2 linked regions of the Caenorhabditis elegans genome follow. The protein of the gene in region 2 purifies or fractionates together with the protein of the main gene of each other region. This does not show direct contact. Each region holds a gene or a part of one and is shown on either strand. Other genes may lie near its edges. The genes, in order: abts-3 and wrt-9.

Region 1 (15,959 bases), on a different chromosome or scaffold from region 2:
TAAAAACAAAATTAAATATGAAAATCATGAAACTTTTTTTGGACGACTTTTTAAATTATGATAGGTGGAAGCTGTTACTTTCTTTTTTTCGACTGTAAATAAAAAAAAATTGTCTAACATTTTTTTTTAATGTTTTAAGATTATATTTGGTGGTATCATAACAATTCGATTACATCATCTGTAGAGACTAATTTAAAAAAAGTATGATAGATCAAATTGATTGTTCAATATATAGAAAGGACTTTCTTTTACCATCTATTGTACAAATCAGGTACCGGAAAAATGATGTTCACGAATTTTTGAATTATCGTTTGACTTATGAAATTTTATTGAATATATTACCTGTTCAGTTATCAATAGAAGTAATCGTTCAAACATCTCATTTCCAGACAACGACGTGAGTGCCATGTATAGGAAAAGACCATGTAGAACAGATGTTGGGATGAGTTGAAGTGGATACGGAATCAGGAAGAACATTGAAACAAGAATCATAACATGAGCAATGAGAGAAGCGAGACGAGTCTCACGAACATTCATTATTCTGAAAAAAAAAAAACAAATTTAGGCGAAGTTTGAAGAAAATAGACACTTACACTTCATGAACATGTCCTTGAGAAACCCTTTCCTCAACATCAGCCAAGGCTCTGAGATGAAGAGGCGAGTGTGGGAGGGCTCCGTGCATCCAAGGAAGACCAAAAACCGATAAGAACATGTTGAGTAGAGCAACAACGAAAAGATCCAAGTTGTGAGATGTTCCCTTTTTAAGTCTAAAAACATACATGTTTTAAAGTGGAAAATGAAAACTTGTAACTTACTTATTCTGATTGTTATTTACAATTGCCGAAGTAATATTTTGATCAATAAAAAATAAAAAGGACAAGGAGAATCCAAGAAGAAGGCACACAAAATATCCGGATGGTGGCAGTGAAGTTACGTCAGCCATTTGAATCAAGGGGAACTCGAAACGAAGATTGAATCGATCTTCTGAAATAACAACAGAATTATGTCAAAAAATTATTAAAGTTTTTCTCATTCTGATTCATAAGAACAGGAAATTCATTTTTACAGAAAACAAAAAACTTACTCTCAATATCTGAGAAAGCGTACGATCCAGTGAATGACATAATGAGAACTGATGCTGGAAGTGCATAATCCGCAAGCCATTCGCGTCGAGACCTTGTCAAATATGGAGTTTTTCGAAAATTGTACAAGAATAGTCCAAGCCAAAGTGTTCCAAACATGAGAAGCATATAGAGAATTGATGTGTCTCTTCGACAGAGACTTCCCGTATCTCCGATGCTCATACTGCTTGTGATATTTCCTACAATACTGTCTGCGTTCGAACCGTTTTTGAAGGCGTTTAGTGCTGTCCTAGCTGCTTTCATTGATATGGCCGATGTGTCACAATCGTTGTAGTTCTTTTTGAAACCTGGAATATTTAATCTTGAAATTTGGTGTCTAAAGTAATGAATAGGATTTCAAAGCTTTAATTTTTAAAAATCGAATACTTAATACTTTGAAAAATTAAAAAATTTTCAATATGAAATTTTCGGGAAAAAACTGGAGCCGATCATTTTTTGCCAAAAATGCTCTCAAAATGACTAATTGAAAATTGTATGAACGCAATTCGAATAGGGAAAATAAAGAAAAATTCAGACAAAGTAAAAAGTTAAATTTATGCATTGTAAAAAAGACTCACTGTTGTGTATTGCCCGTATAGATTCGACCGTGAATGCGATAGCTATGAAGAGTGAAAACATTTCCTCGGCAGACCTTGTTGCGAATTTCATTAAACTGCACAGCTCGGTCGCCGAGTAAAGTATCAAAAACATTTGACAAAACAGCCCGACACACGCGTACATTGCCAGAAAGTCATAACCAAGTTCTTGAGATATTTTGAATATCACTTAAAATAACAGAATTGTTACTTTTAATATGAATTTGTAAATCTCACCTTTTATATAAATTGCTAAAGGCACTGTTGTTAATAGTATAATCATTGGTTGACCACCGAAAAGAGAAAAGAAGATTCCACCGATTGCTTGAGCAATTATCACTTTTCTTACATCTGAAAATAATATTTTCCGTGGGATTATTTCAGCAAAAACTTACTAATAGCTCCTTTTGTATTATCATCATTGAGCACACCGAATGCAATTGCAGGTAAAAGACACGCAAAATACAAGAAAACCACAGTAGAGAACAATTTTTGGACTGTTTTATGTCCACGAATACCATCAAGATAATCTGATGGATATATTGCGAGACGTCGCTTGAACTCTTCAACCAGTCCTCGAAATGGATACCAAGCTTCTGGGCCAAACTGAAATTTAAATTTGCAAATAGGGTAAATGTTGAAATTGCTAACAATCTGCTCTTTTGCATGACTCAAATGAATCGATGATTTCCGTTCCCTCCATTGATTCTGATCCATTGCCAATTCTTTTGCTGCTGATAGAAGAGTTGATCTAAACTGTTCAACACTTTGTGCCATCACCAATCGTTGACGGATCTCCATGTCAGCAAAAAGTGTGGCAAAGGTTCGTGTCGTTTCCAGTGCAGTTTTTGTTCCTTTCTGGAAAATAGAACTTTTTAAATGAGTAAAATAACATTATCATAATAAAAAAGTTGTTAGACTTTAAACGGAATTTTTGATATTCATGTTAGGTTTTTTTCAAATGATCTACATTTCGAGCTCTAAAGTTTCAAAACTTACCGCCCTGCTTGGTGCAATCACAATAATGATAAATCGAAGATCTTGCATAGTTCTACCCAAATTTGTTGGATGAGAGAGACGAGCAATAGCAACATGACGATGTTGAACAGTGTTTAGCATACATCTGAAAATATTTGTTTTCTCACATCAATCAAATTGCGGTTCCTAAAATGTTCCCTTAAAAATTTTGTTTCCATTTCCTTCATTTTTCCTTCTCTGTCTGCTCTGATTGCTAATGCATTGCAAAATCGAATTTAAAGGGGAAAGTGAAGAGAGAGAAAAAAAACCTGTGATGTAAAAAAAGAGAAAACCGGAGGGTCTTCCCTCTCTTTCATCAATTTGAGCCCGAGAAAACTTCCTCTTATTCTGTGAGGAGAAAAACAAAGTGAATCTGGTATTAATTGAATGCAAATTACTTTGGCCAACAAAAAGGGAAATTGAGACCAAAAACAGACTCACAATGCACAAATCCACGTTTGATCGTAATCGAAACTTCCGCCAACTGATCCAGTGGTACATATTGATTGAACTGTTCGAGACAGAATATGAACTGAAAATTATTAAATTAAGGATCATCAACTAATGTTTCTTTGATATCTAAAAATTGTTTGTGGCCATCGTGAAAATAATAAAATTAAAAGTTGAAAAATCATATTATCAGGACAATTAGGGAATTTACGTTCACATTCCCGGTTTCAGGTGTTTTGTACTGAAAATATAAAGTATGTTTTCTATACTCTAGAATTGGTCAGTTTTGTACATAATTTTGGAGTATGGAATTCATTTCTAAAATAATAATTGTTGTACTTGTGTACTTATACTTTTTGATGAAATTTGTGCAAATGTATTCAACATTTTTTTTCGCCGAATAATCTGCTTGTTTGCATGTTTTCCCAAGCTCCATTCAATCCCACTTACACTGATTTCCAGCGTCTTGTGTGAAAAGTACACTTCTCACTTGTTCACTTGTAAATTCTGGTTCTTGAATATCCATTTCATGAATGATTCTGAAAAGATACAAATCATTTCTTCAAGTTATTCGTTTTTGGTTGTTTTGGTCCCAAGATTCCCCCATTTTTGTTTCTTTTTTTGACTTCTCAAGAAAACGACGATCATCATCATCATTGTCGTCTCCAGAAAAGCGCACACTTCCTTCCTCTCAAAACAACAACAAGTTAGAAAAGAGAGGGGAGAAAGAACACAAGAAAAAATAATTGATAATCCTTTTGTTCACTTGCATTTTTTCAGCTCTAGTTTCAGACTTCTGAATGGATTCTAAATTTAAATTTGAAGCTGATTCTGGCGACGTCTACAAATAATTTATTTTTCGGACGGATTGTCAAATTTTATTGTGGATAATAAATCAAACATCGTTGTAGCTTTGTTGGATTTCTCAAATAAATTTTTTTGAAGAACACTGTCTAAAAAAACCACAAACATTTTACTCATGCAAAATCAAAACTAAACTCAAGAGTACGGTTATCACAAAATTATCACAGTAGGCACTATGAATTAATATTAGTAGGCACTATGAATTAATCGCTATGAAAGTATATCAGTTAATTTTTGACTTCAAAATTCTGGAAAATTAAAATATTGTTTTATTAGTAAAAATCCCATTTGAAAAAATCAACGATACTCATTACTTCTAAAATTATCAAATATTCCAAATACAAAAGATCTGTATCCCGTCAACTCAAAAATCATCGTCAGAAGTTGCTCTTTTCGCTAGACATATGAGAAAGGGCCTATCCCCTCCTCCTCCACTCGATCATTTTTCTTCTCCATTAATTATTCATCAAAAAACCAACACAAACTCTGTTAGAGAAAAAAAAGGGAAGCTGTTGGCATCCAACTCCCATTTTCATATTCTATCCCACTCTTTTATTTCGTTTGCCCATCAAACTCAGACTTATCCTTATGATGATGAACAAGCCTTTCTGAAGCTTATTTAAAAGCTTCTGAACACAATAATACTCACTTGGCAAAAATCTCTTCGAGACTCGTCTCCTGAAGATCGAGTAGAAGAACCGCCTGAAAAAATAAATTGCTTTTTCTAATGCACATATAGATGTTTTCATAGATTTATTTATTCTTTAAGAATTTCAGTTTTTGGGTTTCAAAGAACGGGATTTATCCAGAATATTCAAATTTAAAAATTACAGCTGTCACGTTAAAAGTGATCTATTCCCAAAGGATAGGTACTTTAAACATAACTTTTAACTTCTCAAAAGCCATATTTAGAAGCCCATTGTGGGAGACAACGACCAAAAATTGGGTGCCCTTTGTTGTAACTAATGAGTCAAAAGAAAAAAGAATTTCCGGTCTCTCTAGATTATAAAATTCATCATAAACATTTCAGCTGCTTATTCAAAACTTTTTCAAGCTCACTTTATTCAACAGATGATCAATGTCCATTGTTGCTCTGATCTCGGATCCAAAATCTTTCATCGGAATCTTTTCATGTTTTGCGTACATCAAGGTCACATTGTCATATTCATCTGCAACACGGAACAATTAATTGAGTGTTTTTCTTAATATTTCTGATTTCAGATACATTATAAACACTTATTTTTCACCCTTCCAACGCTTCGGCCTCATCTGGTCTCTTCAATCAGCCGAAATTGGTCTTCTTTAAAGCGCCGGCTTCCTTTTTCTTTAACATTGCTGCAGAGAAACCGCAGTCGCAGACCCCAAACTTTTTATGTAGGAAGCGAAGTGGACCCCTTGCCGGGGTGGGAGGGTCCAGTAGTTTGTCCCCTTTTTGTCTATGCAACCCAATAAAATTGTATGAGTTTTTTAAGCGCAACAAAACAAAACAAAATAGCATTGAAGCTAAAGAGAGAAACATTGAAAGAAAAATATTCCTATAAAAACATGTTAACTAAAACAAAAACACACATACTTCCAGCATTACTCCAACTGAGAGTATCCAATGGCGGAGTATCACTGTCAAAATCACGATCTTCTGCTAAAAATGGTTGGGAGCCATATTGGGAAAGAGTTCGACTTGGAGATCCACCACGTGGTGAGCCACATGCACTTGATCTTCGAGTCTTTGGATCCTCTTGTTGCAACGACTTCATTGATAACCAGGATACTCTTTTTGTTAGCATTTTAGCTTTATCAGGAGGTAGAGAAATAGTTGTCGATTGAGCTGTATTAATTAAATTGACTGTTCCTCCTGCGGTTCCACCTGAACTTGTACCACTGTTCATTGTTGCTTTTTTAGCCTCAAACTGTAGTGTAGGCTGACTCGCACGTCGTTCAAATGTTTTCAATGGACGAAACCCAATGGCAGGTGCTCCCGTTTGAACAGATTTTCTTCTTGTACCAACTGGACTAAGATGAAGAGAAAATGATGGAGCAGGGGGTACTTTGTCATCTTCCTCACCAGAAGTTTGTACTGTACCGGGTGGGCAAGATGCAACCGAGTTTCCAGAAACATTTGATATTCGTCGTTGTTCAGGAACATACAAAAGAGTATGTGATGTTCTTCTAGCCATCACTCGTTGCCTGGGATCTGGTTTCTTAATATAAATACCTCCCTGACTGATTCCATCGTCACCATTTTTCAGAAGCAGAGGGTATTCTTCTGAAATGCCCGAACTGCAGCTGGCAAAATCGAGTGGTGTGCGGTACGAGTCGACGTCTGATCCTTTTCGAACACTTCCATTCGAAACGAACACCTTCACATTGGTGACATTCATTAGTAAGTAATAATAATAATAATATTAATGAAGAAATTGAGAATATTGGACTACGTCAAGGAGCCGTCCACGATGGACTGGCCTAGGGGGCACTGCTTCCCTTTTGGGGCGGAGCTAGGGAGCTTCACGAGCAGCAGAAGCAGCAGCAGCACAAACCACTTTTAGATTCTCTCTCAGCGCTCTCTTTTTTCTTCAGCCTGCCCCTTTTTTACTTCATGCCCATTCCATTCACTACTCAGTAGAGTCGTTGACGACAAGAAGAAGAAGGAAAAACGAAGGGGGAGAAGAACCGCCGGCGCCGCATATTATGGGATTGATGAATCGGATTTCGGGACTGCTTCTTCTTTCCTTTCTCGTTTCCTTTTTTATTCAGAGACGATCCGCCGTCGTGCGCATTTTTAGCCTTTGATGATTACTCTTTTTCAGAAGGAAGTGTGCACGGAAGTACAAAAAGAAGAGCACAGCCGAACATGCTGAACAAGTTTTTTACGGGGGATAAGTGGATATTGAAGTGCTCGGATATAAGAAAAATGATGTGTTCTAATAATAACTAGATGTTGAATCACTCGTTGTTTTTTGCAAGAATAGAAAAATGAAGTCATTGGTGCAAAGTGGCTCAATTCTTTGAATCTTATTTTTGACACAATTTTAATTCAACGAAGAGACTACTGTAGTATTACGTAGAAATTGTGAGAACAATGATGCTGGAACATTCGATTTTTTCGACCCGAGATCATTTCATTTGACATTTCGGTTAAATTATTAGATTAAAGTGAAGACTCTAGGATTGATATTTGAGGAAATATTGGATCAAGTGTATGCAAGAGTTTGCGAATTTTTACTGAAGATTTGTCCTAATTTTCTCTCTTTAGTGTTAAACTTAGATCTATATTTATCAAACTTCAGGGCTCGGATGAGACATTTCAGAAAAATCAGCAAAGTTTTGTAAATATTATTTTCCAAGATGAAATTTCAGTTAGAAGTTACAGACAAATTCCGAGATAGGATAAGAGAATTTGTCAACACATTTACACACTAGACCTCTATTTTCCAATTTAAATCTTTTTCAATCCAATATCAATCCGTATTTTCGTCAGAAATAGAATTCCTATGAATAATCTTCTCAATTTTTTTCCGAAAAAGAAATAGGATGTCATCTCAAGAGTTCAAAGAGCCGCATCCCCCGCGGGGCACAATCTGTCCGACGAGCCAATTTGATTACCGAATCTTCTCGCTTTTTTGTTGCTGTAGGATCTTCTCCTTTCTCTATTTCGTGTCACATCTTCAAGAAAAAAGAATGAAGCATCAGTTTCCATAAGTTGAAGTGAACGCAAATTATGTCTCCATACTACAACTCATCATGTCATCTGAATTGTGCGCCTCCATGCCGCGGCGACGTCTTCACAGCGTTTCTTGAGCCGAAATTCAATTTGCGATGACACGAGCTTCTTCTCTTCTTACTCTCTTTTTTTTTAACTTCTTCTCCTTTTTCTTTCTGTTTCCTCTGTGTTTTTACTGAACAGTGAATATCTTTCTTTCTTTCTTTTTCACTCATATCTCATGAAAGTGTCATGAGCACAAGAAGTGAATCGCTGAACCATTGTGGAACCGCGGAGCTTAGGTGCCAAGCATGTTTTCAAAGAAAAAATACGTGGACACGACGGACGCCACGAAATAAATAAAAACACTGCAGATAATAGAAGAAAGAGGAAGGAAGAGGATGAAAAAGCAGGTTGGTTGACTGCTTGGGTCCCCCGTGAACAATTTTAGATTGCAATGAAAAAGGCATGCATTTTTGGACAATGTATTTGTGGTTAACCTGCGGAGAGTTGACATTTAATAGGTGCCAGAAGAATGAAAATGGATCAAAATATCATTAAGATCTTAATTCTAGATCGTTAGTCTCAACTTTTATTTAGCAGCAAAGTATATCACTTTAAGTCTAGTGGATTCTTTAAAAGTACGCGTCAATAATGATGAAGAATTGCATATTCTAAATATCAAGCAGTTTACTAACAGAGTTAATTACAACAATATTGAAATCGATTTTTAATATAAGAACCGTTTTAATAGAAACAATGAAATTTGTATTCAATAAATTCATCTCTTACTATAGCTATAGTTTAGAGCCAACAGACATTTAAACTCCAGTTTGAAGTTTTACTGAAAGCCTGGTAGATCATCAAAACCTTTACTTACCGTCATCATCTTCAAATTCATGAACAGAATCATCATCAATCATATAAACGTGACTAGCTCTCCGTTCCTCATTGTGATGACTTTCCAGTGAATGAATTGTTGCAGAAGTACACGATTGATGCATTTCACTTGTTGATTTTGGTCTTCTAAAATGACATCTTCTTGGTGTATTGGCTCCAGAAGCTACGGTGGCTTCTGAATTAGCTGATCCACTTGCATCCGAATCGTGTCTTCTTCTGCTCCGATGAACTCCGCCGTTATTTGTACTATTACTATTACTTGCACCATTCGTTAAGACAATACCACCAGGTGTTCTTGTTCCAACTGGTTTTACTGTGAAAACTCTTGATCTACTTGGAACTTCTCGTTCGAGACTTGATTCACTAGCGGTTTCAGTTGCAAACGATGTTTCGGATGCATATTTTCTCAACTTCCGGTCGATTATTGATTTAGCACAGTTTGAGACAGGCGGGGCACGGAATGTGAGTGGTGCTGAAGGAGGATCTGAGCCACCAAATGGATCGGCGTTGCTATCCGAATCCGGTGTTGTCATGACTTCTGATGATCTACTGTTGAGTCATAGTCATGAACAGTTTAGATATGCGTCTGAAGTTACAGTAATCATGAGAAGATATGTAGAAGGAAGTATTTGAAGAAAAGAAGAAGACAAGGAATTTATAATAAATCAGAATAAAGAGATTATTCAAATTGGGATGTGAATCACTCTAAATGCAAATTGTATTCTTGATTCTCAATTCAAATCTAAAATAAGAAAATAAGAAGATAATTGAATAGAGCTATCTCGTTCCGACTAAATCATCAGATCACGTTTACATAATCTTGGTATTTGAAGTTCATACTGTAGTTCCACACTCCCATTTCCGCTTTTGCTTCTCCACATTTTTTTGCTTGGAAAGCCTAAAGAGCAAACGAGGGTGGAGAATAGAGGAGGCGGAGCAATTATAAATGTGAGGGTGGATGCAAGAAGCAAGCAATAGAAAGCAATATCTTCCCAGCGCGGGTGGCGGCATCGCAGAAAAAGAGCACAAAACATACACAATGTGAGCTTCCGTTTACTAGATATGGATGAAATAACTGGGACAACTCGTAGATAATGGAAATGGGTAGAACGGTGGTGCAAAGTTACTTTGAAGTGATGAATGAGCCGACTCGTTTTACAAATGATAGAGTTGAAGATAAAGATAACAGATAGATAGAGGAAAAGAAAAAGAGAATAGAAAAATGATCTGAAGATATTGATTAGAGGTCAAGAAAACTGAGAGCAGGATGTGTGGTGGATGTGATGACAATGAGATCGGAGGTCAAAGAGGATTGCTGTTTCAAGTGAACTCGGAAATTTTTAGAAATAGGGGATATCAAGATTATCGAAAAAATTTAGGATTTTCAATAAATTTGGAACAATGTCGCAAGCTCGAACAACATATACACAAAAATCATGGAAAAAATAATTTTTTTTCAACTTCCGATTTTTAGGTAGCAACTGAAAATTTCACTTTTTTAACTGTAATTTTATAAATTAAAAAAAATCATTAAATTAAATTATATCGATGTAGATTTACATATATGTCAGAGTCACAACTTCAAACAATTGTCTCATTGGTTTGAACAAAATATTTTTTTTTTGGTTTTCCGAAAAAAATTTTGAAAGATAATTTAATTGAAATCTATGCAACTTTTTAGTGAGACTGGTGAAAGGTGTTTAAAACCAAAATTCTAAGCTTCAACATTTGATGGAAGATTCGTATGCTGTCTCCAACCTAACATAGAGCTTCTGGTTTAATTTCACAGCTCACCGTGCATTTTTTTTTTGCAGTTTTCTGCAAAAAAAACCAACAAAAAGGAAATTGATCTTGGCAAATCAGAGAAAAATGGATTCTGAAGATAACTCCATTTCCTTTTTTGCTGGTTCAATGCCGCCGCAAAAGGGCTTATCTCGAAATTGGAAGAAGTGCAAGAGCTGCTCCTAAATCTCGGAGAGTCCTCCGTCAAACTGAGTTCGTTTTCGATGGCAGCTGAGTCCCTTTCAAAAGGCATTCAGCCACCCTGTGGCGCCGTTTTTTTTTTGAAATCCAGTGTTCTCATACAAACACACATACTACCAAAATAAGATTTAAAAATGGAAGCGGAAAACGAAAGAACGAACATCGGGCATACGGATGGGATCTTGTGGTGGGAGGCGAGGGTGGCAAACAGCACAAAAAATACGGACGAGCGCTTAGAAAACAGATTGTTATTTCTTTTCCTCTTATGCTTATTCTTCGTTTTTCTTCTTCTGTGCTTTTGCATAAAGCCGTTCTTTTAGAGAGGATGCCTGTGAAGGATAAGAACAATAGAAAAAAAATAGTATGAAACAAACTGGTAGACACACGTGTTTTCTCTTGAAAAAGTTATGAGGTAGCTGCTCCACATAAGAAATAAGAGAAGAGAGACTTCTCTATTTGTTAGTACAATGCTGCTTGTTTTCTTTTTCAGAAAATGGATCTGATGGATCATCGAAAGGAATAGCAACTAGATGACTATTATTAGGTTGGAGCATAAATTGAATTTGCAAGCCCATAGATTTTAAACTAGAATATTTTGCTTGCAATGGGAAATTTGGAGAACCCAATAACGTTTTTAACCAGGAAACAAAAGGACTACTAGGATTTTCCAGATTCTTCAGATAAATTTTTTTTCTTTAATCTTGCAACCCCTTGGCTCTAATTTGAGCGCTCACTATTCGGTTGGCTTTGCTCTTATCAAAACATTTACAACACTAAAAATGCGTTTAAAATATGTATATCTCTATATTTTTATACATAATTGAAAAAAAAAATTCTAAAGCCAAATGCAATCGAGATGTAAGCTGTTGAAGTAGAGCTGTTGGGGTGCAAATGATAGGAAAAATACGGTAACCAAATTTTATATTTTTATCAAAGTCAGTGATTTTCAAATTAGTCTCTATCCTCTTGGAATTTGACATTTTGCCAAGTAACGTTCAGAAAATTGTAGCATCTAGAACAGTACGGGGTCCAACTAGTACTTTTTAAAGAACAAAGATCTAAAACCAGAATCTGAATGGATGTTGGTCTCGAACGACCTGTGACTAATCTAGCAAATAGAATGAGCCAACGAAGAAAACGGGAGGAGGAAAACGGAGATTTCAGCGTGGATGAGAAGGATGGAAAGCGTAAAAGAAGAAGAAAATGCGTGAAAACGGGGCGGCAGAATAGAGAAACAGAATAAAGAGCACACACATGAGATAGAAGAAACGGCGGTGGGATGTCCCGCGCCTGAATATTTACATTTGCAGAGTGAATGAAAATCGAAACAGTGTGATGAGAGAAGAAAAAATGCGGCGACTGATGGAACGGAAAAGACGAGGTAACGGCGTTGAAACAAGTTGCGGATATAGGGATGCTCTTCGAGCAAGTTGCGTGGGTGAAGCGGATTCTTGCTCACACACATATACACTAGTCGACCGGAGAAGACGAAGAAGACCTTGTTGCAAATAATTGGATGTATGTGCGAAGCGGCCTCTCTCTTCAAGAAGACCGGTCGGAAGATGTCGACTCATCAGTAGAGTCTCAGTCAGAAAGCATCACATTTACATCCCCTACTTGAACTTCTTCTCCATCGCAAGCCAACATCTTCGGTTTTTTATTATTTTTCAGATGCCTTCTTGTCAAATGAAACTGATTGACGGGTTACGAGCCGGCGGAGGAGAGGGAGGCACATGTTAACTGAGTTAGTAAAGGTAATATGAGGGACTGATCTTCTGAATTTTATTCGTATTCTCAAATTCTAAACCGCATTTTATTTCCTTAGATTTATGGTTCTCAATTGAAAAAAACGCCCCTAGCTCTTCTATTCCAATGGACTTCTTGAAGTACACCAAAAGGAAAAAGTTCAAAAACCGCTCCAAAGCAAATTAGCTAGGAAACAGTGGGGACACATACATCATTTTGCAAAAAAAAGAACCAAAAAAATCAAAAACTTGGTTTCCGGGGTAAAAAGAAAGTCGAAATGAAGTGTAGGGCTCCTTCAACGAAATATGTGCTCATATGTCGGCTCGGCGGAGGCGAAATTCATCAGAAGTGTCCGATGTGTCCCTGAGGGAGAAGCTGTCGAATATAGAAAAGAAAAGAGAGTGAGATGTGGAATTCGACATGTTCTACTCATGTGACGAATCCGACAAGGTACAGGCGAACGTCTAAGGGAGAGAATATTCGTAGTGTGACGTGCACTTTATCAAAAACTCGGTGTTCAACTGCTCTAGATGTGCAACTTTTCTTGACTGAAAGAAGATTTCAGTTTGGACGAAGATGTTGGTTTTGACTCGTTTTGGAACCTGATCTAATCGTATCCTCTCGCTAACCAAGTATTAAATGTTTTTGGAAAATATTTCATGAGCTGACAGTGTGCGGTATTATTACAAAAATGTTTGGCTTCGCCAGCTCTACGAGCAGTATAATACAGGTTTAATTTTTAACATAATTAAAGATGGTACGGTTGAAAAAAAAAACAGAAGGAATTAAAGTATACGAGCTCATATTTAAAATTCAAAAACTAAGAAAGCAGGTCACAGAGAAAAGAAAATAAAAAGTGCGAACACATGTCGTTCGGGACCGCCAGTATCTCTCAAATTCCTTCAACAAACACTAACATTTTCTAATTATCACCCGTCTTTTTTGTCCAGATGTCTTGATCCTAGCGAACCTGATTTTCTAGCTCAAAGCTTCAGTTCATCACAAAAAACAGATATATTGAAACAATCAATCGTTTGAAAACTAATTGGCTGTCAAATAGTGTGAGTGGCTCTGAAACACAGAGGATGATGTGAGAGAGTAAGTGACATAGAGAAAAAAAGTTGATGGAGTTAAAAGCGCCGATTTAATATTTCGAAAGAAACCTAACCTTTCTTTCCCGTTTCAAAAGATTTTTTGTCGCTGTCTACAAAAAGTCAGGAGGTTGTGGATGGACATAAAAAAGGAAAAACGGGTTTCTTCTATTCGCTCGTCGTTTTCTTCATTCTCAGATTCAGAGCTTTCGTAGCCTCCCAATTGAATTGGCAAGGAGGGCGACCAGCATACAACTACGACATTGTTGCTAACTTCGGACCCATGGAAAATTTGGTAAATTACTCGTGGCCAAAGTACATCAAAAGGGGGGAGACGAACTGATGGACTGCGAATTGGTAGGTAGATTGAAAGAGAAGAAAGTGATTGAACGAGAATCTGAGGAAGAAATGAATGGGGACACATGAACAGGTGTAGAGATAGGAGAAGAATCTATAAGAGAGAGAGGAAGTAGAGAAGCTCAATGAGCCTTGCATTGAGAACTTAATGGAAACATATATTACTGCTGATTCGGAATGACAGATTCTTCTAAATGATGTAAGCGGAACAGACAATGATTTTCCGATCGGGAGAGATTATTCAACATGTTCCGTGTGGGCAAGTTACTTGTCAGAAATTTAGATTGCCCCGTCAGCAATCAGATCAGAAGTTCAGTCTTGCTTTTTTAAATAGAAGTAGATTCAGGAACTTCAATAACCTCAGATGAGAATCACTTTTTTTTGGCATTTATTAATATCAGATTGAAAGCATATTATAGTTTCAGTGAGATTCAGAACTTGTAATAAGTCAAAATTGGGTTTTCGTTCACTTGTCGACTGTATTATTTAAAACAAATTTCAAAAAATTGCTGAATAGTTTTACTTTGATATTTCGAAATTTTAGCGCTTTGGAGGATGTTTTAAACAATTTCCAAATTTATGATACTCGAATCTTGACTCTTTTTTTTTTGGTAAATTCTAGGTATCAAATGATCAACACAAAATCTGTTACATCTTGATGTTTTTTTATCTAAGGATGGAGAAGATGAATGAAACAAAACGTGAAAGTGTCGGGGGGATTCCGGCCGCTCCGATTCCCATCACGGTGTCATATTTCCGAAGAAGAGCACCGAGGAATGAATACGTGCTGAATCAAAGGCAAAAAAGTTCAAATGCTTGAAACATTGCAGAGACAGGAAAAACAACATCCAACGAGTACTATTGCCCAACAATTAAAATTCGATGAATGAGACAGATCCCAGGAGCTTGAGGGCTCGAAGTGTGAGCCGCCGCCGCAATAAAATAAAATGACGTGTGAAAAGAATGAGAGAGGAAAAGAAAGAAAAAGAAAAATTCTCGAAAACTTGTACCCGTCCAAAATGAAACCACCACCTCTCTACGGCTAACTCATCATCATCATCACATGCCGATGAAACACATTTGAGCCATCCAACAATTGTGCACTTTTGAACCTCCCGATCAATTAAATTTTCATTTAATATTTTCATTGGCTAGTACTTTGGTGTTTCAGATAACTCTAAAACTGGTAACTTGTACTCTAACAAATAATTGTTCTGAAAATAGCTCAAAACTCAGTAAAGTACAAAAATAATCAGTATTTTAAGAAATTCCGGATCAATGCTGGCAATACCCAGCGTCGAATGGGTTTCTCAATTAAGGCTAGAACTAATAGAAAAATAGGAAAATAGTGGTCCGGGCTCGCTAATTTGATATTTATTTTTGCTGCTTCCCCGGAATTTTACTGCCTCTTTTTGCCATCTTCTCATTTTCACAAGACTTCTACAGGAGATATAATACCGACTATAAAATGCGCGCGAAAATTAATTTAATTCTTTCTTTTTCTTCGCTTTTTTGTTCTCTTTTTGTGAGGGATGTGGAAGGAGAAAGTATATGTCTAATTCTCATCAGAGCCGGGAACATGACATTCCGAAGAAAATAAAAGTCATAAAAAAACGAGGATCATACTTAAAATGGAATATCGGATTAGAACTCAACTTTGAGTTGAAGAATTGTTGGAGTTTTCAACTTATGTTAAACTCAATTTTCATTTTTCTTAAAATACACGAAATTCTGAAAATATTGGTAGTGTTGTCAGCGACGTCGTCGGAAAAAATTTGCATTTTTCCATCGCAGCTTTCCTGTTCACCGCCGTGCTTTTTCTTTGCTCATTTTTTCCGCTTTTCGTGCTTCTTACGGGCGCTGCTTTGCGTACAATGGCAAACGGAGAAAAATAGTGAAGAGCACGATGAAGGAAAGGATTTAGAATAAGTAGAGGGAGAAGAAGAGGAATGAGTGAAGACTGAAAAAACGACAATGGAAGAAATAATAGGAAAACAACACAAAAATCATCGGTTTTTTGTTGAAACATCGAAATTTTCGGTTTTTGCGCAAAACTGGGTTCACCTAGAGTCGACTGGAATCAATTATTTAACAAGTTGGTTCTAATTCAAAAGTGAAAATGGAGTGCTTTATCCTT
Region 2 (16,235 bases):
CCTTTAATCCTTTAATTTAAATCCTTTTTTATACTAAACACGCTTCACAAATTTTTCAATTTTCTAAGAAAGTTTCTTGATGCACCATGAACAAATTTCTCATTTATGACGTCATATGCATGAAGCTTCAAGTTTCTTACAAGTGTACTCAATTTTACCGAAGCTCAGGATGTAGAGCATCATTTTAACCCCCCTCCTTCCAAATCCATTCAATTTCCTTCCGCAGCCGCGCGATTCTGAATGAATCGAGTAGAAATCGAATGGAAAAAGAAATGACCTAATCGAATAAACGTGATACGCGACTGATCTTATCTCCGCCGGATTTCAAAAACTGAGAAAGCTGGGCGCCTCGCTTTTTTTTTGCCGCCACCGCCGCCGCCTTCCCTTTTTCAACAGAGAAAAGAAATGGGAATCGTTTTGTGTATGGGGGGGAGATAATTTGATGATGCTAATTGGGAATATTTGTCATTTTTGGGGTCAAATTAAGAAGGAATTAATTTGGAATGATGGAAAAGTGAAACTTTATTTTAAAAATTCATGTTGAGACTGCCAAAAAAAAATATAAAGAAACTAGGAATTTGATACAACAGTTTTCGAGTAAAAAACACCAAAAAAATACAGTTTTTCTAGCTTGTTCTATAGTACCACTACAGTAGTATTTTGCACAGTTACTCAGTATTTTATGGTACATACCACTACCGTACCACTACAGTAATCCTACAGTATCAGTAGAGCAATTTTTGCTGAACCACTATTTTACTCCGACAGCACCATGTCAGTAACCCTAAGGCACCCGTTCAATAGTTCTACAGTACCACTACAGTAGTTTTACCGTGTTACAATATTTGTAACGTTTCACTACAATAATCTTTTATAAAAAATGATTCTAAATCTACAAATTCAGAACAAGCTTTTCCAGCACCAAAACTCCCCGGCAGGCAAAAAACCCAAAATATACCTCATTTCCCCCTCATTTCCTCTACTTGACCGGTCCTCGAACAAAAAATCCGATCTTTCAAGTGCCCCCTCCACCCCTCTTTTGGTATACTTTCCATATTACCTGCTGTGAAACTACGAGGTAATTAGTCTGAAGGTGTCATTTTAGACCCCCATTTACTTTTTTTCTGTTGTTGTGAATGGAAAGTTAAGTGAAAGAGAGCGAGGGGGGATGAGGGGAGACAGTAAAATTGTTTTTGAAGTTTTTTTGGTTGGGATTTCACCGGGAGTCAGTTCTTCTGGAAAAACTGGATTGTTCATTTTTAATTGAAGATATTGGTATATCCTAAAGGCACGTAGGCACAAGGAAGGCATGCGGAAATTTTGATGCCTACTAGGGCCTACTTAGCCTACATAGCCTACATAGGCCTACTATACTCGGTTTTGTCAAAAACTGTCAACTGTTAAAGTTCAGGGCAAAATAAATTGAGTGTTTTGCATTGGAACAAGGGGATCACAAATTACTTTTTGGCTGGAAAATCTAGTTGTAGCCACTTTCAAAGCAGGGAAAAACTGTATATTTTCAGACATTTTCATATAAAACTTACTATAAAATTGAGCTGATCTCACTTTTGTAGGTACCTTTTTTCAAGACTATCCTATAAATTTCGCTCAAACTTCGGAATTTATAGCCTCAAAAAACTTTTTTAAAAGGATTGGAGGAAGATCCGTTCTTCAAGTGCTATGCACTGCGGATCTGAGAGTCAGGTACACTGCCTGGTGGTGCTCCCACTGGGCTATGATTTAAGCCACATCCTAGCCGGGGACTGTGGCCGATAATTCAGTCGTGGATTGCTCCACTTTCCAATAGAGGCTGGGTGGACCTAGGAATGAGGCCGGACTTGAACTCGTGACCTCCAGATTGGTAACGGCCACCACTACCGACTGCGCTATCCTGCCTAACATTTTTAAAACAGTTTTTGAACTATATTTATATTAAGGCTGAATTTTAGTAACCCTGAATAAACAAAAAATCAATGTAAATTTTCAAACTTATAGCAAATTTTGGGGTACATCGCTGAACCCCTTACTTTTCCCCCTGTACAACTTTTAACGTTTGTGGTTCCTTATTAACCATTATGCTGAGTAACCCGTTTGTATTATGTAGTAAGTGTGAACAATGAGTCATCACGGATTACGTAAAGAACAAGAATATCCGCCGTGTCCCCCTCTCCATATCCATATCTACCTCCTCGCCAACGGCTTCTTCTGACAACAATACGTGTTCTATCTACTTCCTGCCCCCGCCGGCCTGTCAACTTTTTCCTCACATCGTAATATTCACGTCACGGAAGGTGAATGACAAGGCGGGCGGAAGCAAGCAATTAGAAATGTCTACTACCATTTTGGCAACATTTTCCTACTACTCCGAGTCGAACTTTGGTACAAATTGCGCAGTTTTTTTCATCCATCATCGAATCCAATTTACTTCAGCTTAAAAGGGGGGATTAATATGAAGATTGAATTGCGTGACGGGAATTCGTTCGATTTGTTGTCGGAGATGATTGCAGGATTCTGGGATGCTACAAGTGCAAGGGCAGATGAAGGGAAAATGGGAATTCGATGTGGCAAGTGGTGGGAGGAAATGAAGTTTTGAGAATGTTTGGGAAATTGGTGGTTGTAGTGGAAAAGTTTTACAGAACATATAGATCTAATATAAGTAAATTCCAAATTATACGAGAAATTGTATACATGAACATTACAGAACAAAAGTCGAAATGTGCCCCCATCGATGCACCATGTTAAAGGTGGAGTAGCGCAAGTGGGGATTTTGTCTAAATGCACTTATGATGATCCAAAACAACCGAATATCACAAAACACTCCAAAAAACACTCCAAAAATTTTTCTAATTTTTCATAATTTCTGGTCAAAGTTTTGGCAAATTGCCAAAATTCTGAAAAATACGAGCTTTTGAGGAAATTTAAAGAAATGCCGCATGTTTCGACCCCTACCATGTTTTAATACACATAATTTAAACAAAATTAAAACATAAAAAATGTCGAAAAAAACTTTTTTTTTTGGTCGACTTCCAATATTATGAGTGGCAAAAACTGAGTAATTGCCACTTTTTGACAGTAAATAAAAAATTATCAAAAATTTTTTGAAAAGTTTTATCATGATATTTGGTCATTTTGAGACCGAAGGAGTGGTTTTTAACAATTTCCCCACTGGCGCTACTCCACCTTTAAGAATTCAATGAGTATTTCAACGGAACAGTTGGGATGACCTACTACAAACTTCTCGAAAGTTTTGGTTATGTTGAGAAAAACCATGCCGCAAATTTATGTTAGATTTCAAATTTTCCATTATTTCCAAAAACTCACAAGAATACCCCGTAGTTTCTAAGATCATAACCATATGTTTGGTCGATGCACCTAGTTGCAAAATGCATGTGCAGCTAGAATCCAATTCATTATAGTACATTATAAGATCAGTAGAGTCTAGAGATTACCCTGAGCTAGTAAAATATAATATATCAAAAATCGATCCTTGCCTTGATCGATGCACCATGTTCGAAGTTCAGTAGGATCTAGTTCGGGTAAACATCAAGTACACCATAGGTGTTGTTTCTCAGTTTAAGGCCACCGATGCACCATGTTACATAATCTGGTCGGCCTAGTTTGAGTAAAATTCCACAATTCCAGATAATTTGGTATATGTGTATTTGGTATAGTTTGGTATAATTTGGTATAGTGTATGAGGGCGTGAAGAAAAATCAAAAATTCATAAGACAGTAGATCTCAAGTCTCATGAATTTTCACATGGTGCATTAACATCAAGGGTGACTGCATATTTCAGAAACTTTTTCAAACGTTTGCCTAAAAAAATGTCTCCCCCCATTTTTTCCTCTCTTTCTTGACACTCAATCTCGTTTCACGGTGTTTGATCATTTGATTGTAGCCATCCAGCTAGCCAGCCAAAAAAAAAGGCGAGAGGATAATCGGTTTTGTGTCACGCCCATAAAAAATTGTCTCCAACTAAGCGGTTTCGGGATTAAACATTTGCAAGCGTTCCGCTAGATTAGTTAGTTAGCAGGCGAAGAAATCGGGATAGATGTGTCATTTTTTACTTTTTTGGAAAAAAAAAGTCTGACTAGAGTTTTAGGTATGATTGAGCCAAGCTCTCTGGCTCCAGATTTATGTAAGAATTACCAGGGTAATTTGAGTTCTGATTCAGGGCTCCAAGTGGGCCTGATAAGTGGTGACTCCCGGGCTCCGATCTCTCGCGGTAACTAAGATATAGACTTGTTTTCCTTGTACATAGAATGTGAATTAGGGGCCACGTGGTGTCGACCTGTATGACAGGCCTAGCTCCGAGTGGTCAGCTTGACAGTGGCCTAAACCCTGTGCACCATGAGAAGTTGCGACGATTTATGTGAGCTATTGGAGCAAGCTGGCCGCACTTTGAAAATTTTGAAGTTTCTGCTCTGAGCTCAAAATCTGAGCTTAGCGTCACAGTCAAAGAGTTACCGAATTTTCTGGAATTGTGGAATATTTCTCAGACTAGGTCGTCCCGAATATGCGCATCAAAAACTTATCAAACTACTATGAACTATATCCAACTAAATTTTGAACATGGTGCATCGATCAAGTTACAAATTGATTTCTGATTGTATTCATTTACTCAGGGTAATCTATAGACTCCACTGATCTTATAATGTACTATACTGAATTGGATTCTAGTTACACATACATTTTGCAACATGGTGCATCGATCAAGCATATGGTTATGATCTTAGAAAATAACGGGGTGCTCTTGTGAGTTTTTGGAAATAATAGAAAATCTGAAAACTAACTAAAATTTGCGACATGGTTTTTCTCACTAGGGAACCGTCAGAAGGTTATTTTCCAAATTCACTTTGGTAGATCACATCTCCGCGAATAATTGACATTGTTGTAAAGAACAAGTTTGTAGTTGAAAGTTTTTTACCAAAAAATTTTTTGTTTGAGATAAAAGCATTAGAATAGCAATAACAGCATAAAAATAACAGCAACAGTTGCCGCACTTCACGCGCGTTTATCTGAAACAGAAATTTTTTGGTAAAAAACTTTCAATTACAAACTCGTTCAATACAACAATATCAACAACTTTTTAGTTGATGACTTTCCTGTAAAAAAATTATCCGCGGAGATATGAGCCACCAAAGTGAAATTGGAAAATTGGCCCTTCAATGTTTCGTTTAAGTGCTATTTTAGAATTTTTGAGAGCCCGCCGTGAGCTTGGTTCTGGAGTTTTGCCACTAAACATTCACGAGTAACCGTTTTAAGACATGCACTATCGAATGGCATAGATCTCATATGCAAGTCCGATGGGCACCTTCTGACGGTTCCCTAGTCAGCATAACCCAAACTTTATAACTCGATTTATCTTATAATTCACCAGAAACACTTGAGTAAGCATAAGGGCTTTTCTATGAAGATCGAGGAGCCACATAAATTATTTCAGAGGTCACCTGGCCCCGCAGAGAACCAACTACTCAATTTCCGTTAGTATTGATTCTTCAAGTATCTCTTCCCCATCATGTTGCCAGCTAATCAAGATAGCTTTTCTTTTCCACCAGTTATCCGCAAAAGACTTTTCCTTATTGTCTTCTCTCTCTCTCTCTCCCATATTCCTTCCCCCTTTTGTCCCTCGCGCGTGTCGAGTAAAAGGGAACGTGGCGGTTGCGGAGAGACACACTGGTTGGCGGTGTGGGGAGAGAGAGAGAGAGAGTGAAAACACTTGTAATAAAAACACGACAACCAACTGTCTCATTAGCTTCAATCGGCCGGGGGCCATATTCTTCCCACACCAATACAGAGACGTACCAAGTTTCCCACGGGCTGGCAGACGGGGTTAAGGGGTATATGTGTAGGTGAGGGGGGGGGGGGGAAGGGTCGAACGGTTTTGAGAGGGGAAAGTTGGCGTAAAAAAGGAAAGAGATATAGAAAACTGTATTTTTTAACAGGAGAAATCTAGACCGAAGGGTCATGGATAATGAGAACGATTGTGTGGAGTTTGAACGGGTTTTTTGGTGATGTCATTGGAATTGGAACACTAATTTTCAAAAAACAAATTGATATTTAGAAAAATATGGTTAAAGTTTTTCACTATTTTTATAATTTTTTTTTCGAAAAAAATTTGATTGGAGAGAAAAATTGTCTATTGGTTTTTTGTCAGATTTTTAGAAAAAAACCTTTAACATTTTTTTTTCAGATTTTTTGATAAAAATATTTAATCATAAAATGATAAAAATTGATAAAAATAAAAATTTTGATAAAAACTTTTCTAAACATTTCTATAAGACTAGCTAGATAAAAAACTAAGTCTAAAAAGTTTTGCGAAGTTGGAAAAAAAATTATTTTTTGAGTTTTTATGTTCATTTTCCATAACTGAAAAAATTGGCAAATTTTGATAAATTTTCTAAAAAAAAATAAAGTTCTGTAAAATTGGAAAAGTTTGAAATTATTTTACGATTTAAATTTTCAAAAAAATTCTAGCTGGAATAATGCAAATGGCACCAAAAACTTTAAAAAAAAATTCAGTTTTTTTTTGATTTATTCATAATTTTGTTGGTTACAAAACAGTCCAGCAAGTTTTACGAATTTTCAAAAAACCCCAGTCAACCAAGTGATCTCCGTCTTAAATTACACACATAATACATTTCAAAAAACCACCTGCGCATAGAATTATCTTCCAAAAATATCTCAAAATAATAATAAAAATATTTTGTTTTTCCCTATTAATTATGCAGATACCATCACCGTATAGCTTGCGCGAAAATTTTCGGCGAAAAAATTGCGAAATATTTGTGTTTGGGGGATTTAGATTGTGGATAACGGGTTTTGGAATGAGGAATTGGAGATGGAGGAATTGAAAAAAATATATGGAAAAATACGTTGAGAACATTAAAATTCAGTTGATAATTGATCTAGAAAATAAATTTGTAGAAAAAAATTCGAAAAAAATTTCGAAAAAAAATTGTTTTTTCTTCAAAATTTTTCCCTCAGAAACTCACCGCTTTAGGCTTATAACTCTGCGTATAGCTCTTCTTCTGCCTATCACCTTCACGGAAAAATCCATCTTCCTGTCCAGCTGTATTGGCAATGAACACGCTGTCCTCCTCGTCCTCCTGCGGCTCGGCCATACAAGTCGGCTGCGCGCATCCGAGTACCGGGGAGCCTGGAATGGAAAATTGGTTATAATACTAGATTTTATGGTTTGTATAGGGTTTGGAAAAAACTAGAAATTTTGGGAATAACATAAATCGTTCGAAATTTTTTCCAATAAAAAAATCTATTTATAAAAATTTTTGGACTAAATTTTATTCGAAGAAAATTTAGAAAATTCCTGTAAAAATTATAACAAACAACATTGAATTAGAAATTCATAATACGAAAATTAAAAATCGATAATTTTCTGCCTAAAATTTCAAAAAAAAATTAGAATCTTAAAAATTGAATCCTTAAGTTTGAGGATTGGAAGCACCAAAAAAAAAAAAAATTGTTTTCCAGGAATTTACAAAGTTATTAATTCCTGCCTTAATAAAAATTAGTGGGAAATCTTTAAAAAACATTTTTTGAAAAAACTCCTCTGTACTTAGCTCGTATTTTAGATTTTTGGAAAAATATCTGAGAAACTTTTTTTTTTGAATTTGTAGTTAAAGTGGAGGGTTGCAAAATTTATTTTTGGATAAAAAACCAATTTTCTTCAAGATCAAATAAGTCGTAAAGCATTTTATGAATGGTAACACCTTCTATTTGTCAAAGCAAACACAAACCATCAGACAGGATTTCTAAACTGTACGGCACGCCATTTGAACCACAGTACGAGGCACCAAAGGGTTGCAGGAGGGCGAGAACGAGGGCGATTTGGAACGAGAACGCTCGATGGCGCATTCTGCAACTTCTAATGTTTTTTTTGGAAGGGGGGGGGGGGGTGCAACGGAAATAATGAATAATAGAGCGGTGGACAGAGGTGAGACAAGAAAATTAGCTGTGGCTAGACATGGAATGGAAATATGAATTGATGACACTTTTTTTGGTGAAAATTTGCAGAGAAAAAAAATTGAAGAAATCTTTGGTTGTTGGACAGAACTTGGTTTGGACAAGAATTTTAGAATTTGCTAAACACCTGCTTAAAGGTTACAGTTTAGCCAAAAAAGGACAAACTGAAGGTTGGAGCTCGTTTTGGAGCTAGGCTTAGGCTCAGGCTTACGCTGAGTTTTAAGCTTAGGCTTAGGATTTTGATTAGGCTGATGCTGCGGCTTAGGCTTATGTTTAGTCTTCGCTCAGGCTTTAACTCAGACTTAGGCTTATTTTTAGTCTTAGGCCTAGACTTAGGCTGAGGTTTTGGCTTAAACTCAGTTAGGTTTAGGCTTAGGCTTCGGCTTCAGCTTAGACGTAGGCTTATGCTTAGGCTTTGACTTAGATGAAGGTTTAGGCTTAGGCTTAAGCTTAGGCATCGGAACAGACTCAGGCTTAGGTTTAGGCTTTGGCTAAGGCTTAGGCTGAGGCTTAGGCTAAGATTTGAGGTTATTTTCAGGCTTAGGCTTATCTAATTCTCAATTTTTGTTGTTGTCTGAAATTTGAACTATATAATTATATAATTGACCGTTGTACAGGCCTAGAAATTCAGCTCAAACGGTAGTTTTGAATTCTGTGTTCTAGTCTCAAACGTTTGCTGCTTAGTTTGATTTTTCGAGTTTCAGCTGCAAGCATGGGCTTTAGGCTTACACAAAATTTACATTTCAAGCTTTACTCTTTAACTTGAAAATTAAGTTTCAGGCTTAGACAACAGGTGTTCAAGCTTTTCAATCGAGATACCAAAAATGCCAGAAAATTAAAAAGTTTAAAAGATGCTCAAACTTTTTAACTGAATTATTTGAGTATACATAAGCAAAGGATTAGATGAAACAAGAAATGGAATTCATGCTGAAGTAATTATTATATTGTTAGTTTGTTTTTGTAGCAAAAAAAGCCGGAACAAAAATATAAAGAGAAAACTATAAACATTTCAAAAAAGCCGCAAAAAAATTAGCTCCATTGTGGGAAAGAAGAGAGAAGCCGAAAATTGGGAGAAGAATGCAAAAGTGGGCGGAGCGTACAGGGCTTAATCTTGATGACGACGGTTGTGTTGGAAATGGGGGAGGCGGGGGATGGGGAAAGGAAAAGAAAAAGAGACAGGCTGCTGCTGCTGCTACTGTTTCGGGAAGAAGGAGATGATGAAGCAGGAGGGACGTGGGGAGGGGGGACAAGCATTTGGACTGTTGGTATGGATATGGATGAGAGAAAAAGGCATTGCGACTAATAACAAGCTTGCAACCTTCCTGTTTATCACCACCCCCTTGTATCTTTTCCTATCTTTCACTATCTTCCTCGTTTGGGCTTCTGATTCCGTTTGTTGAAGATTTGGGGGACTGGAGAGGGAGAAGGGGGATTGGAATTGGAGTAGGTTTAGTAGCAAAAATAGAATTTTTTGAAAATAAACAAATTATGGTGCAGAACAGGGCTGTTACAGGTTGCCGGTTGCCGAAAAGTTGACGAAGTTTCGGCAATCAAAAGTTGTCGGTTGCCGAAATTTTTTGGGTTCGGCAACTTCGGCAATTGCTGGTTGCCGCACAGCCCTGGTGCAAATGCTTGAACAAGGATATTTTCTAAAAAATACAAATTATAATACTCTGTACTTCCAAATTTTGACATTTTGAATATTAGGAATATGTAATTTGCAGTGAAACGTTCCAAATATTAAAAAAAAAATCACAAGTCCAGAAGTTAATAAGAAAGATGATCCAAACCTCGTAAAAAAATTTTTGAAACCCAAAATAAGGTAGGCTAAAAAATTTATCGTTTCATCTTTTAGAAATCAATTTGTTAAAGGCCAGGCTGTATCACTACTGTTTGATCTACAAAAAATGCGAGATTTTTCTGCCCAAACATTTGTCACGTCAGCACGTTCTTAGCCATGCAAATCAGTTGAGAACTCTGTGTTGAAACTCTGTGTCTCAACTTCCACATTTTTTGTAGATCAACGTAGTTCGAGCCGAAATGAGACACTCTGACACCACGTGAAAGGTGGAATAGCGCTAGTTGGAAAACTGTTAAAAACTACTCATATGGTGCCAAGGTAATACAAGCCAAGGAAATACCTAATACAGACCATAATAAAACTTTTCAAAAAAAGTAAATTTTTTATTTACTGTCAAAAAGTGACATTTACTCAGTTTTTGCCCTCAAAAACTCATATTTTTCAAATTTCTGGCAAATTGCCAAAAACTTTGACCGGAAATTATAAAAAATCTAAAACTTTTTTGGAGTGTTTTATTATTTATTATGTTTATGATATTCGGTCGTTTTGGAAAATTATACGTGTATTTAGAAAAAATCCCCACTGGCGCTACTTCACCTTTAAATTTCTTCGTAGATTCATTTTTCACATTTCAATTCAATGTTTATCTATAAAACAAAAAGCTCTGTTATCGATACATATCATGTACAGGTTGTATAATATAGGTATAATTTAACATCTACAAAGATAGAAGAAGTCCCAGCAACGTGTTCACAACATTTTCAGCATCGGAATCATTCAGTGAATCTGCTGTGACCACATTTGTACCTGTAGTCAGTCCTGGAATGCTTGTGGCTCCTGAAATTGTAAATCTACTAGGTGATATTTTTCTATAGTTCAAGTACCTCCAACTAATACGCCTATCACTGTTTTGAAATTATTATATGTTGGCTTAATTGTAGTACCATCGTAGGCAGTTCCTGTCCTGGAAAAATAATTATATCATTATCGGAACATAATTTCTTATTAAAAAATTTGAAATTACAATTTCTTTGAACTAAATTTACAAAAAGGACGTTCTGTAAAATTTAAAAAAAACTCACGCGGCAGAAATAAAAATCATGCAGGTTTCACCATTGACAGTTGATGACCATCCTGCACTAGCCATGCTCCCATCCACACTAAACATAAAAATAAACATTTCAATTTATAAAACCTATTAGCTCACTCTTTCAAATCAAGATCAATGTCAGTGTCAGATGCATGTAACGGAAATGGTATGCTGTTCATATTTGCATAGTCATCAATTTGATAAGTTTCATGATCTTCGCCTCCGGGACCGTATCCAAAATGATCAAAATTTCCGCTCAAAATTGATCGGTCATTTAATTTGGACGAAATCAGTCTGACAAAATTGTAGTACTGAAAATTAGACGTTTACCAGTTTTTTTTCCGAAAATTCAATATGCCTACCGTTTGATATGTAGTGAGAGCTTCTTGACTGATATCAGAAGATTGTGTGTCATACATGAAAAGGCAGGTTACGGTAGGTTCTGAAACTGAGGCTCTGAGACTATAAATTCTAAATTTTTAGCTGGACTAAAGCTGACTAGTTAATATCTATTCTACGGTTCATCAATTGTTAGAGAAAATCGAATGATTCTACACGTGATGTTCCGAGACGAGAAAAAAGTTTGTAACATTATTTATTTCAATAAATTATCAGGAGCCCTCGTCCTGTAAAAAATGACATTAAATCTCGAATAGTGACACATTGTTATGAGTTTCTAGTCCAAAGTTTTGCTGGCAACTAACTTGTTATGGAAGTTGTTGGCACTGACGATCCTGAAAAAAAACAATATTTTGAAAGTCAGTCTTTCAGAATCGATAAAGATTTATATGGAATGTCCAAATTTATTGTTCGCGCCTGTTAACTCTGTACTTGTTGATGGTGGTTGTGTGGATGATGACCCCGATGATTCTGTGCTAGACGTGGATAGAGATGATCCTGACACTGTTGATCCTCCTGATGTTGAAGTTTCAGTGCTGCCTGTTCCTGCGCTCATTGTTGATGACTCCGTTGATCCAGTGCTGCCACTGATCGTTGATCCAGAAATTGTGGATTCCGTGCTATCAGGGGTGTTTGTCGATCCTATCGAGGCGCTGGATCCCCCGGAAACCGTCGATTCTGTGCTAGCACTGACGGTTGATACTGAAGATCTAGATGCAGTTGATCCATCTGTTATGGTAGATCCTGTGCTGACACTTACAGTTGAGACGGATGATTCTAAAATTGTGGATTCTCCAGTCGATCCCGTCGACCCAGATACGGTTGATTCTCCAGTGATGGTTGATCCTGTGTTGCCACTCACAGTTGACACGGATGATCCTGAAACTGTAGATTCCGCAGTAACGGTAGATTCTGTCGAGCCAGAAACGGTTGATTCTCCAGTGATGGTGGATCCCGTACTTCCGCTGACAGTAGATACGGTCGATCCTGACACCGTAGATTCTCCACTAGTGCTTGATCCAGTGCTACTAGTTACAGTTGATGCTGATGAACCGGAGACGGTCGATCCTGCTTCTGTGCTTGATCCAGTACTTCCACTGGAAGTAGATGCCGTTGATCCAGACACGGTTGATTCTCCAGTAACAGTTGATCCCGTCGACCCTGACACGGTTGACGGTACAGTGGGGGTTGATTCTGTGCTCCCACTGACAGTAGACTCCGTTGATCCAGATACCGTGGATTCTCCGGTAACGGTCGATCTCGTCGACCCTGACACGGTAGATTCTCCGGTGATGGTTGATCCCGTACTTACACCGACAGTAGTCATCGTAGATTCAGAAATTGTTGATCCTTCTGTGATGGTTGATCCCGTCGACCCAGACACGGTTGATTCTCCAGTGACGGTCGATCCCGTGATGGTTGATTCAGTGCTGCCAGGGGTATCAGTGGATCCTGTGGAAGCACTCATCGTTGATGATCCAGTAGCCGTTGATCCGGTGCTGCCAAATACCGTGGACTCGCCAGTAGTGGTTGATCCAGTGCTCTGACTGATTGTTGATTCTGAGCTAACAGTGGATACTGAGGACTCTGACACGGTCGATTGTCCGGTAGTACTTGAACTTGTGCTCTGACTAACCGTTGACACTGATGAGCCTGATGTAGATGTCTCCACGCTGGATCCAGTGGACGGGCTCATTGTTGACGCTCCAGATACCGTTGATTCTGTACTACCTGGAGAACTTGTGGATCCGGTGGAGACCGTCATATCTGAAGATCCAGAGACCGTTGATCCAGTGCTGCCACTGATTGTCGATAGAGAAGATCCAGATACTGTTGAAATACCAGTGGTGGAGGAATCTGTGCTTCCAGGATTATTTGTGGAACCGGTTGACCCAGTGCTGCCACTGACAGTTGATCCATCTGTTATGGTGGATTCAGTGCTTCCAGGAGTGTTTGTGGATCCTGTCGACGCGCTCATTGTCGAAGGCCCAGTTGATCCTGTGCTACCACTGACAGTTGATACTGATGATCCAGTAACAGTTGATTCCGTGCTTCCAGGAGCATTTGTGGATCCTGTCGAATCACTGATTGTTGATGAGTCACTTACGGTCGATCCCGTGCTACCAGAGACTGTTGACGCTCCAGCTGATGTTGATTCCGTACTTCCACTGACTGTTGATACCGACGAACCAGACACAGTTGACGCCTCGGAAACGGTTGATTCCGTGCTTCCAGGTATAGTTGATGATTCCGTTGAGCCACTGATTGTTGATGCCTCCGTGACCGTGGAACCTGTGACGGTGGAGGCTGACGATCCAGATATGGTTGATGGTCCACTGGTAGACGATCCTGAGCTTTCTGTTGTTCCAGGACTTGCTGTAGATCCCGTGCTTCCGCTCAAAGTAGAGTAAATGGAAGATGCTGATGATACCGGGATGTACGTTGATGGCTGAGAAGATACTGTACTGACTGTCGAAATGGATGAGCCAGCGGATGTTGGAGATTCCGTGCTCAAAGACGATTCTGCAGTTTGGGAGGTAACTGTAGAGCCACTGACTGTAGAAATATCTGTTACGGTAGTCACGGTTGATGCTTGAGGTGAAGTTCCAGCTGTCGCGGTGGAAGAACCGGACGGTAGAGTCACAGTAGTGCCAGACGGAGTAGATGATTGGAGCACAGTAGACTCTGTAGAAGCACCAGGTGCTACTGTTGTAGGTCCTGAGCTCATACTTGTTCCTATTGTCGGTTTAGTTGATTGCTGTGTGGCAGGGGATGTAGCTCCAGCGGTGCTCGAGGATGGAGTATATGTTGAAAGTGAACTCATTGACAGGGATGTACTCTGACTGGGAAGTGGTGTGGAGCTTGATCCGATAGAAGTTTCCGTTGTTACAGCGGTGCTTGCTAAACTTGTTCCAGCAGTAGATGGGCTTGATCCGCCAGTCGTTGGAGTTGTGATTACTGTAGACCGACTTGTCATCACCGTAGTAGGAACGGTTACTACTGTGGACGGCGCTGTGACTACTGTACTTGGATTTGTCACCACCGTAGTAGGAACTGTTACTACAGTCGACGGAACTGTTACTACTGTGGATGGCGTTGTGACTACCGTAGTAGGAGTCGTCGCTACCGTCGGTGAACTTGTGACTACTGTATTTGGTTTTGTGACCACTGTAGAAGGGACTGTCACTACAGTAGACGGTGCTGTGACTACTGTACTTGGTTTTGTCACCGCGGTAGAAGGGACGGTCACAACCGTGGAAGGAACTGTTACTACCGTAGATGGCGTTGTGATTGGGCTGGTGACTACTGTACTTGGAATTGTCACCACCGTAGTAGGAACGGTTACTACTGTAGTAGGGCCTGTGACTGTCGTAGTAGGTACCGTTACTGTTGTAGTAGAACTTGTTTGAGCTGTACTTGGAACTGTTACAACCGTTGTTGGAGATGTAGAAATTGTGACAGTAGTGTTTGGAGCTGCCGAAGTTACATTGGCAGTCGTTGTAGCCATTGTTGATGTGGTTACCGGTGGCGTTTGAGTTGTTCCTGGAGTTTAAGATTTAGTTTAATAAAAATATATCTAGTTAAAAAATCTTACCGATATTCAGAATATTATTAATTTTATTCGAAATATCTTCTGTCGGAGTTGTTGGAATATTATGCGCTGCTTCACCATATCTACTGTTCATATCAGTACTATTCAGTGATAGTGACACAATCACAAATGTTTTTGTAATAACTTTGTTGATGGCAGTTTGAACATTTTTAATATCATCTTCGATCCCGCTGAAATTAATTTTAATTTTAATTTTTTTACTAAGTTTTTTTTTATTTGAAAAATTATTAACTCACTCGTAATTTGTCTGACAAGGCGTGAAAAAAACTAAATCCGTGTTACTATATGCAGATGGGTCGTAACTTTCAATAGCTCTAAAACACAACTTTACAGATACTATGAAAAATCTGAAAAAAAAGAAAACTCACGAAGACTGCTTCACCGCTGAAGAGCCGTCTGCCTTGATGGCTTCAAGTTGATCCAATGCAAGTTGTTTTGTAAGTGGTTCAGTTTTCTGAAATTTTCAAAAATTTGAGGTGAATTTCAATAACTTTTGAGAAATTACCGTTGAGGTACCGGAGTAGGTAGTCAGAATAAAATTTGCATCTTCTGCAGAGCTTGTGAGAAAATTTCGAAGTTGGTTTTTGTTCTGAAAAGTTTTTTGGATGAGTGTCAAGTTTTTGGTGAATGTTAAAATTTTTTAGCAATGCAATTCAAACTCACTGCATTAAAACTACAATCTGTATTAGCATCTCTCTTAAACCTCAAGCTTGAAATCTGCGGCTCTGAATTCGAATTGCACAGGCTCACTGTAATGACACGACCATCAAATGCTGAAAATTGAATAAATTCGAAATGACGGCTTTTTTTTCCATTTAGGCTTACGTGCAGCTTTATTAGGCCTGCTAACCAGCACAATAGTCAAAATCAGGCCGGCCACCAAAGCGGCTGACACCGCCAAAATGAATACAAGGTAAATGCCACGTGGCATTTTGAATTTCAGCTTCATGTCTGAAATTACTTTTTTTTTATTATTATAAATGCAAAACACGTACAAGAAAAACAAGAGGAATTGAAGAGTTTAGAAAAAAGTTTAACGAAAAAAGAAGAAAATCAAAAAAAATTGGTCAGTGCTATTATTTTGGTCAGTGCAAATATTTTGGTCAGTGCAAACCAAACTATAACAAAATTGAAAAAAAGACACTAATGGAAACTGCCGTGCGACCTTTTTATACGGTAGCCAACTGCCTAACACATAAAAACAAGGCATCTGTGCCCCTTAAAAAACCGTGACTGAACTGAGCCACCACCCTCTGGAATGAGAACAATGTGCTGGAGGCGGCAACAACTGGAAACCCTGTGCACCGGCAACCCATAAAGATGTTCTCAGTGATAATAGCAGGGTTGAT

The links.
Region 1: the proteins of wrt-9 (region 2) and abts-3 fractionate together in Caenorhabditis elegans (co-fractionation; one large-scale study listed by BioGRID). This does not show direct contact.

The regions. Positions count from the first base shown.
Region 1 is NC_003280.10:6,140,405-6,156,363, reverse strand, and holds the start of abts-3 (Bicarbonate transporter-like transmembrane domain-containing protein), read right to left. Parts: upstream 9,234-15,959; 5' UTR 9,179-9,233; coding exon of another isoform or gene 8,626-9,178; 5' UTR 6,427-8,625; coding exon 5,622-6,426; intron 5,218-5,621; coding exon 5,108-5,217; intron 4,939-5,107; exon of another isoform or gene 4,871-4,938; intron 4,751-4,870; coding exon 4,698-4,750; exon of another isoform or gene 4,543-4,697; intron 3,724-4,542; coding exon 3,635-3,723; intron 3,267-3,634; coding exon 3,176-3,266; intron 2,841-3,175; coding exon 2,717-2,840; intron 2,576-2,716; coding exon 2,369-2,575; intron 2,324-2,368; coding exon 2,113-2,323; intron 2,069-2,112; coding exon 1,955-2,068; intron 1,907-1,954; coding exon 1,700-1,906; intron 1,430-1,699; coding exon 1,085-1,429; intron 985-1,084; coding exon 816-984; intron 768-815; coding exon 594-767; intron 542-593; coding exon 343-541; intron 1-342.
Region 2 is NC_003284.9:1,568,278-1,584,512, reverse strand, and holds the start of wrt-9 (WaRThog (hedgehog-like family)), read right to left. Parts: upstream 7,877-16,235; 5' UTR 7,876-7,876; coding exon 7,758-7,875; intron 7,160-7,757; coding exon 6,996-7,159; intron 1-6,995. Other genes in the region: H02F09.2 (Peptidase_M10_C domain-containing protein), read right to left, coding at 10,503-10,621, 10,669-10,748, 10,867-10,944, 10,992-11,185, 11,237-11,293; H02F09.3 (VWFA domain-containing protein), read right to left, coding at 11,659-14,816, 14,869-15,056, 15,123-15,200, 15,255-15,340, 15,392-15,475, 15,550-15,659, 15,712-15,835.